2 linked regions of the Macaca mulatta genome follow. The protein of the gene in region 1 interacts with the protein of each later gene in a biochemical or structural test. Links are inferred from orthologs where the notes say so. Each region holds a gene or a part of one and is shown on either strand. Other genes may lie near its edges.

Region 1 (4,196 bases):
CCACGTTTTATTATCAGTAACCGTGAAATTGATGTTGATTTAATTCTGTTTTGCAAAGACAAAAAAAAAGTAATTTAGACAAAGGTTGCCAGCTGAGGCCATGTGCGTGCATGTGTGTACACATGAGCACACAGGGATATAGATTTTACATATGTGGACTTTACACATGTTCCTGTGTATTTGTGTGCTGACATGTCTGAGAATGGACACCACTGTGTGTGTCTGGGCACGTCTGTGAACACATCAGTGTGGTGTATACCCCTGGCAGCTCCCCATCTCACGCACAATAAAATCCGAAGTTCTTACAATGTCACAAAAGTTCTAACCCTGGCTACCTATGTATCGTTTCCTACGGCCCATCCCCTGGCTTACTCCATTGTGGCCAGGCTGACTTCCATGATGTCACTGAACACACAGGTTGAGAAAAGGGCCAATATCACTGACTGTACTTTTTCTAAAAATGCAGTGACTCAGGCAAGAGATGTGAGAACCTGTGCTCTCTCCTGCTCATCCTCTTCAGGGCATTCTTCGGAGAGCTGTGCTCAGTCACCAACTCAGAGGCTTTGTGAAATTCTGCAGGCAAGAAAAAACGAGCAAACATGGATTCTTTTTTTTTTTTTTTTTTTTGCAAACATGGATTCTTATGTTTGCCACTTTGTCCCACCCCCTTGGTGTTGGAAACTTGATAAGCGTATGAATTAATGAAATCACTACCACCTATTAATAACAACGAGTACTGGCTGGGCGTGGTGGCTCATGCCTGTAATTTATGAGCTTTGGGAGGCCGATGCAGGAGGACTGCTTGAAGCCAAGAGTTCGGAGGCCAGCTTGGACAACATAACAAGACACAGTCTCTACCAGAAAAAAAAAAAAAAAAAGGTGCCACGCAACTGTAGTCCCAGCTACTAGAGAGGCTGAAACAGAAGGATTCCTTGAGCCCAGGCGTTCAAGGCCGCAGTGAGCTAAAACTGCGCCACTGCACTCCAGCCTGGGTGACAGAGCAAGACCATCTTAGAAAAATAAACAAACAAACAAACAAATGGGTACTAAGAGCATGGATAACGATTACACTCGTGATAATAAATGCAGTAGCATGCTGGTTAAATAGCACAGGCTCTGGATCCCACACCCCGGGTGAATCCAGGCTTTACCATTTAGTAGCTGGGCGAGTTATTTAACTCCTATTTAACTCCTTTAGAGGAATGAGTTTGGCCACACATGTGAGGAGATGTTCCCACCTAGGCGGGTCCCCTCAGCAAACACGTCTCACCTGCGACCAGAGTGAAGCCTACACTGCCGGCAACCCCCGCACGCATGCGCGGCCCGGGCAGGTAGGTGGAGCCACGGTGCGCTGCGGTCAGATGGTTGCACGCGGGGGCGGGGCCGCGCCTGCGCAGACCGCCTGTTATGGCGGCCGCCTGAGTCCCACCGACCGACAGCAGGGTCGGATGGGACCCCAGGCTGAGCCCCGCGGCGGGTAAGTGACTGGGAAAAGAGACGGGACAGGGTAGGGTGCAGGGAACCTCCTGGCGCCGAGCCTACTTTGAAATCCGAGCTCCCACGGATCTGAGGCCCAGATCCCTGAGGCCCGACCCCACTCTTAGCCTGTTTCCCCTTCTGAACACAGGTGTTGGGGGAAGAAGTCCACGTCGTCGCCTGAGTTTCCGTCCTGGGTCCAGGCACCTCTCCTTCGGTTCAAGATTAGGAAGGGAGGGCAGTGCCCGACCTGTGACTGTCTTTTGAGAGGGCAATAGTTAACCCACAAGGGTGGCGTTAGGAAGGCGACAAGACAAAGGACGAGGAGCCCCACGAGGGACGTCCCCGGAGCCCCTCACTACGACTCTGCGCGCCGTGGCCAGGCTACGTTTTACCCACCCCCAACACAGGCGTTCACACCCTACCCTCCGTTATCCAGCTCCTGGCCTAAATCGTTATGGGATCGCGCCAAATTCCTGATTGTTGAGTGAGTTGCACTTATCAGAAAGAAAGAGGAGGGAAGTTATTTCAACACCGTGATCCCAGCAAACTGCTTATTTGGGACAACTGACTGGGGACCTATAGGAGAGGAAGGCTGACAGCGTCTCAGTCTAGGCAGCGTCTCAGTCTAGTCCCCAGAGCCTTAGAAGAGCCAAGAACACGTTAGCTCCTGCTGCAGGGATGAGCTTGCAGCCCTATGGAGAGGTGGCGGGGCGGGTCCCCATCTGCAACCTGGGGCTCCTTTCTCAGCTCTGCCCAGTGAAGAGAGGAGCCCCAAATGCATACAGACCCTGCATTCCTGGAGGGAGACTTTTCCTGACTAGAGAAACTGTTACCTTTTTTCTTTCTTCCCAGCATTCACTTTAATCATCATATTGCTATAATGATAGTACTTACTATTGTTGCTTATTGAACGTTTACTATATGTCGTGAGCCCTAAAAGTGATCATTGTCTCATTTGCTCCTCACACAGGCCCTGAGGTAGGTTCAAGAGAGCCTTCTTATTCCCACAGAGCTGATTCTAGGGAAAACCACTTAAAGGGAGTCTCCTTCACCTGGGACTTACATTGCAGTGTGCATTTCTTGGGAAGCCCGGTTGGATTGAATTTAAAAATGGAAAATTCAATTAGAGATTAAGAATTTAAGTTTCTTTTTTGTCTATACTTAAAATTTAGTGTGTAATGTTATGCCCACTTTTGGAAAAAGCAAAGAACAGTGATTTTTCTGGGATGTAAGTTTTCCAACAAAATTGCACTATAGGCCATGTGTGGTGGCTCATGCCTGTGATCCCAGCACTTTGGGAGGCCAAGGTAGATAGATCACCTGAGGTCAGGAGTTCAAGACTAGCCTGGCCAACGTGGCAAAACCCTATCTCTACTAAAAATACAAAAATTAGCTGGGCATGGTGATGTGTGCCTGTAGTCCCAGTTACTCGGGACACTGAGGTAGGATCACTTGAGCCCAGGGGGCGGAGGTTGTAGTGAGCTGAGATGGCACCACTGCACTCTAACGTGAGCAACAGAGTGAGACTCTGTCTCGGGAAAAAAAAAAATGCACTGTGGCGAAAAAAGAAATAGCATCCTTTGGTTCCATTTTCAAAGAAATGGCTTTTGATTTTTTATTTTTACAGCAATATTAAAAACAGAAACTATATGTGAAAGTTCTCAGTTTTCCCCCAGGACATCTCTAAGTCCTGAGAGAGCTTGATCTGCCTTTGAAATAAGTGGTAGGTATAAGCTGTATTTTCTCTTCTGGAATCTGATCTAATTTTGCCAATCCCATTGATTAACAGTATTTGCCTGAAGGTCCAGCACTTTCAATGACACCATGAAATTCTGCATTGATTTGCCAGATTCACAGACTTTCTTCACAACCCACTTGCATTTTGATGGCTTTATAGTGTTGAGTGGGAAAGCTAGCATGGAGACCAATAAGGAATCATCTTTTTCCTAAAAAATTTTTTGTTGGTACAGCTTTTGCTACTCCACAACAAGCACTTAAATGTAGGAACTCCGGCAGTGTACTGGGATAGTTAGGACACCCTGAGTCATGATGACCTCTTTTTGCAGTTGAAGAAACGGGGGCCTGGCGAGATTTCATGACATGCCTAGGGAACACATCTACCCAGGTAGGAACAGCTTCTGTAGGCAGTCAGGGGTTACAGGCAGGTTTGGGTCAAATACCTGAAACCAACCCCAGGACAAGGAGGTTGCTGGTGTTTTATTAACACCTACTGTGAGCCCAGGACTCTGCTCAGCACTTTACCCACCCAGTAACACGGCATGAGATTGTGGCTGAAGAAACAGATGCAGAGAGGTGAAGTATTTTCTTGAGATCACATGGCTAGGAGGTGAGAGACCAGGGATCCCCACCTGGTCTGTCCAATTTGAAAGCCCATCAGACTACTGCTGTTTGATGATACTTTTCCACGAGATGAAACATGTGTTTGGAGGGAGATCCCCCCTGTTTTTGACAACTTTGCCTCAACCATGGTTTTCCAAGTTTTAGTTATTAATGTATCACCTGCATAATTTTTCTGTATCTGTGTATCACCTGTGTAGTGATTCCCTTAATTACTTTTCCTTTAAATCCTCTCACTTTTTTTTTTTTTTTAATTTGTTTTTGAGAGAGGGTCTTGCTCTGTCACCCTGGCTGGACTACAGACTGCAGTGGCGCATTCTCGGCTCACTGCAACGCCCGCCTTTTGGACTCAGGTGATC
Region 2 (4,254 bases), on another chromosome or scaffold:
GTCAAGGTTGCAGTGAGCCATGATCGTGCCACTGTACTCCAGCCTGGGCTACCAATTGAGACCTTGTCTCAAAAACAAAAACAAAAACAAAAAAAACCCCAAAAAACAAAAAAAAACTATATTCCTCCCCACAAGTGTTTAACCTGAAATTAATCTATCAAGATCACCTACAAAGTATTCTTTCTCCCCAAAATGTTTAACCTAACCCAATCAAAGCTTTTAGATATAATTTCCAGTTGACAGAAACTACGAGTTAGAAGGCAAAAGACAATCAGAGGAAACAAGTCAACACACATGGGATGTTACAGGACAATAGCCTGGCCTCCTCTCTTCAACAAGTCAATGTCAAGAAAAAGAAGGCTAGGCGCGGTGGCTCAAGCCTGTAATCCCAGCACTTTGGGAGGCCGAGGCAGGTGAATCACCTGAGGACAGGAGTTTGAGACCAGCCTGGCCAACGTGGCAAAACCTTGCCTCTACCAAAATACAAACATTAGCCAGGCGTGGTGCCAGGTGACCGTAATCCCATCGACTTGGGAGGCTGAGGCATGAGAATCACTTGAACCCGGGGGGCAGAGGCTGCAGTGAGTGAGATCGCATCACTGCATTCCAGCCTGTGAGACAGGCAAGTCTCTGTCTGGAAAAAAAAAAAAAGAAAAAGGGGTGGAGAGAAAATGGGTTATACTCTAAATTCAGAATATAGAGAGAATTAAATTTGGAGAAAACTAAAAGTCCTAATAACTCAGAGCACAGATAACTTTTTGGGCAGTTAAACTATTTTGTGAGATTTTATAATGGTGAATACATATCATTATGCATTTGTCAAAACCCATAGGATATAAAACACCAACAGTGAACCCTAATGTAAACTATGGATTCTGGATGATACTGATGTGTCAATGTAGTTTCATCCACGGTAACAAATATAACAGCCTGTTGCAGGATGCTGATAATGAGGGAGACTCGGGGGGTGGGGGTCCTAATAACCAAATCTGTAACAGTCCATGACTTTTGATTGAATCTTGATTTCAAGAAGCAGTTGGAGGACAACTGAGGAAGTGTGAATGTGTATTAGATAAAGAGGAACTTCTATTAATTTTGTTATGTTGATTACATATATTGTGGTTATATAGAAAAGAATCCTGAAATTTTAGAGATGTCTATTTAAGTATTTAGAGGTGAAATATCTTGATATTGGTAATTTACTTTAAAATATTTTTTATAAATTAAACATGGCAAGATTACTTAAAGTGTTAAGTCTGGGTGTTACTGACTGCATGTTTGCGTCCCCCCCAAAGTTCATATGTTGAACCCTAACCCCCAAGGGGATGGCATTAGGAGGTGGGCCTTTGGAGGTGACCGGGTTTAGATGAGGTCACAAGGGTAGAGCCTGCATGATGAACAGGGTGGGACCCTATCTTAAAAAAAAAAAAAAGAGGAAGAGAAGTGTCTACTAGAGCTTGCTCTATCTGCTTTGTGAGGATAGAGGCAGTTTCTGCAAACCAAGAAGAGGACCCTCACTAGAATCTGACCACGCCAGCACCTTGATCTTGAACTTCCCAGCCCCCGAAACTGTGAGAAATAAATTTCTGTCATTTAAACCACCCAATCTATTGCACTTTATATGGCAGTCCAAGCAGACTAAGACATTAGATAATGGATATACAGGTATTCATTAATAGAACTAAAGAGAATAACTGTATCAATGTTAGTCAGTATGAGTCCCACCTAAAATATCTCTTCCTTCACTTGTAGAAACACTGGATTAGATTATTCCAATTGCCTCAGTGTTCTTCCACCCTTACCCAATCCAGTCCGATCTTCGGAGAAAATTATGATCACATCGCTAGCCTGCACAGCATTCCATCAACCACCTCTTTAATGGGGAAAAGCGTAAATTCCATAGTGCAGCATATAAGGCTTTTCAAGATCTGCCCAGACTCCTTGAGCCACTCTATATATACTTCACTCATTTAAAACTCAACGACAATCCTACAAGTAGGTGAAATTATTATTCCCTCTTTAGAGATAAGTAAAGGAGAATATAAGTAAATAACTTGACCAAGACCACATGGTTGGTAAGTGGCCCAGCTTGACTTTAAATTTTGACAGTCTGATATATCCATAAACCAGATAAATCCATAATCTTAACCACAGTATTATTCAGTGCCCGGTACAGTGTAGGTTCTCAATAAATGCTTGCTAGATGAGTTGTGTGGAAGAGCTTAGCTCTCCTTTTTCAACTGATCCCAAAAGAGGTGTGAATCCTAACCACCCTGTTTCTCTTAAGAGCCAAGTCAAGTCAGAGCTGATGACTGTTACTGGCATTGCCCGGGCATCTAGTATTGCAGTATCCCCGCCCCTGTGAGGGCTGCAAAACCTTTTCTGATGTCGTTTCTTTGATGGTGGGGATCGGAACTAGGGAGGAATGAGGGGTCGCAGAACACAGGCTGCCCGCTGGCCCCGCGGGCTGCGGGGAGGGACGGCTCTAGTGCGCTGAGTAGTTGACTCGCCCAGTGCAGACCTCAGAAGCCTCACGACCCGGATCCCAAGAGCCCCGGCCCCGCGCCCTCAGTCCCGCGTCCAGGACCTGATCCTGGATTCCCAGGGGCCCTCCTGGGAAGACGGGGCCACTCCGAGCCCACTCACCTCGTCCCGGCACTGCTTCTGGCACATCTGGCAATACCAGCGTAGCTTCTGCAGGCCCTTGGACTTGATCCTGTTGGCGATAGCCTTGGGAGTAAGAAAATCCGACTTCCCCATGGCGACCACGGCAGCGGTCACTTTCTGGACCCTAGTGCCCAGCAAGCCGGAAACGGAACTTGGCTGGCGGCGGTGGGCGGGACAAATCCCAGCTGAGAGGCGGAAAGAGGTGGGTCCTGGGAAGACTGGGTTGCAACGCTCGCGAGGCTCCTCTCGCCGTAGCGCGAGGAAACGAGACTGAAGAAGAGAGCGAGGTGGGAGGGACGCGCTAGGAGGCTTCTGCGCATGCGCGCTGAGGCCTGCCTGACCGACCTTCAGCAGGGCTGGGGCTACCATGTTCTCTCGCGCGGGCGTAGCTGGGCTGTCGGCCTGGACCTTGCAGCCTCAATGGTATGGCAACTTGCGGGAAGATCGGCAGGACCGCAAGGGATGGAAGAGCTTGGGCACGGGGCAGGGAGGAGGAGATGGGCGCAGGAGCAGATCTGGGGTCGCAGGGCCTGACTGGGCCCCTGGCCCCTCGGAAGCGCCGGGTAGCGGGGGCTGCAGAAAGTGGCTCTGAGGCCGGCGAGGCGTGCGCAGGGCCCGGCTCCGGCGGAGCAAGGTTCCGCCCGGTCCCCTGAGGCCGAGGGCCACCTGGGACCTCGGGACTGCGGCCTGAGTCCAAATTGACGTCTGGGCGGTCTTGAGTTCCCTCAGCTAATCAACACTTCCTGAGCTTCCACTGCGAGCCAGGCCCCCAGTCTCAGGGCCCGCGAGGTGTCGGGAGCCTGAGCGATAGCCCAGGGGAAATGTTAAGTTGTGCTTTTTGTCCTTGACGCCCTTTGAAACCCTCCAGTGCTGGACAGAGTGACCCTTTAAGATTCGATCGAGTCAGAGAGCGCGGCCGTCGAGCACCTCCCGTGTTGCAGACGCTTTGCTGGGTGCTGGAACAGCAAAGGCGAACATCCTAGATGCCCCTGAGGGTGGTCTTGGTGCAGAAGGGACGGTATAGATCTGTCTGAGGGCGGGGAAGGGAAGGACACCTAGCACTGCCTTGAAACCACTTGCTGACACCATAACCCTGCAAGGTCATGAAATTGCCCCAAGGTCCTAGGGGGAGGAGGTCGGTGGGCTTTAAGTGGTATTTGTTAACTGAGGTGCAGCTAAATGGTGCCACGAGCCTCGAGAATTTTAAACATTAGTTCCAGGTGGGGGGACCTGGGCTGGGGGAATGCATATTAGAAGGCCTGGGAATGGGCAGGTAAAAGTTGGTTTGTGGGTCGTGCTGTTGAGTTTTGAATCTTGACAGAATCTGGAAGAATTTCAGACACGCTGCTAAGGGGATTATAGGCTGTGTGGTAGCAATTCCCTGCTCTAAACAGTATGGAGGATTTCTAAGGCGCTACAGTTTTTTGCATCCTAATTTATATTGAAGCGTCCATAAAACATTAATTGAAATAAATACGTTTTGCATTAAGCAAATAACTGATAGTAATATACGAGATTTTCAGAATGAAATCTGATGTGAATTAGCCACATAGAATTTTTGGTAGCTTGGCCTTAGAAGTCAGATTT

What was found.
Region 2: of the proteins of METTL22 (region 1) and KIN, one has a biochemical effect on the other in vitro, tested with the Homo sapiens proteins (2 studies listed by BioGRID). The link is inferred for Macaca mulatta from reciprocal best matches to the Homo sapiens genes METTL22 and KIN.

Annotation. Positions count from the first base shown.
Region 1 is NC_133425.1:9,860,365-9,864,560, forward strand, and holds the start of METTL22 (methyltransferase-like protein 22), read left to right. Parts: upstream 1-1,387; 5' UTR 1,388-1,477; intron 1,478-1,627; 5' UTR 1,628-1,963; intron 1,964-3,106; exon of another isoform or gene 3,107-3,202; intron 3,203-4,196. UniProt on the Homo sapiens protein: Protein N-lysine methyltransferase. Trimethylates KIN at Lys-135 (in vitro).
Region 2 is NC_133414.1:9,286,927-9,291,180, forward strand, and holds the start of KIN (DNA/RNA-binding protein KIN17), read right to left. Parts: upstream 2,801-4,254; 5' UTR 2,761-2,800; coding exon 2,647-2,760; intron 1-2,646. Other genes in the region: ATP5F1C (ATP synthase F(1) complex subunit gamma, mitochondrial), read left to right, coding at 3,035-3,090. UniProt on the Homo sapiens protein: Involved in DNA replication and the cellular response to DNA damage. May participate in DNA replication factories and create a bridge between DNA replication and repair mediated by high molecular weight complexes.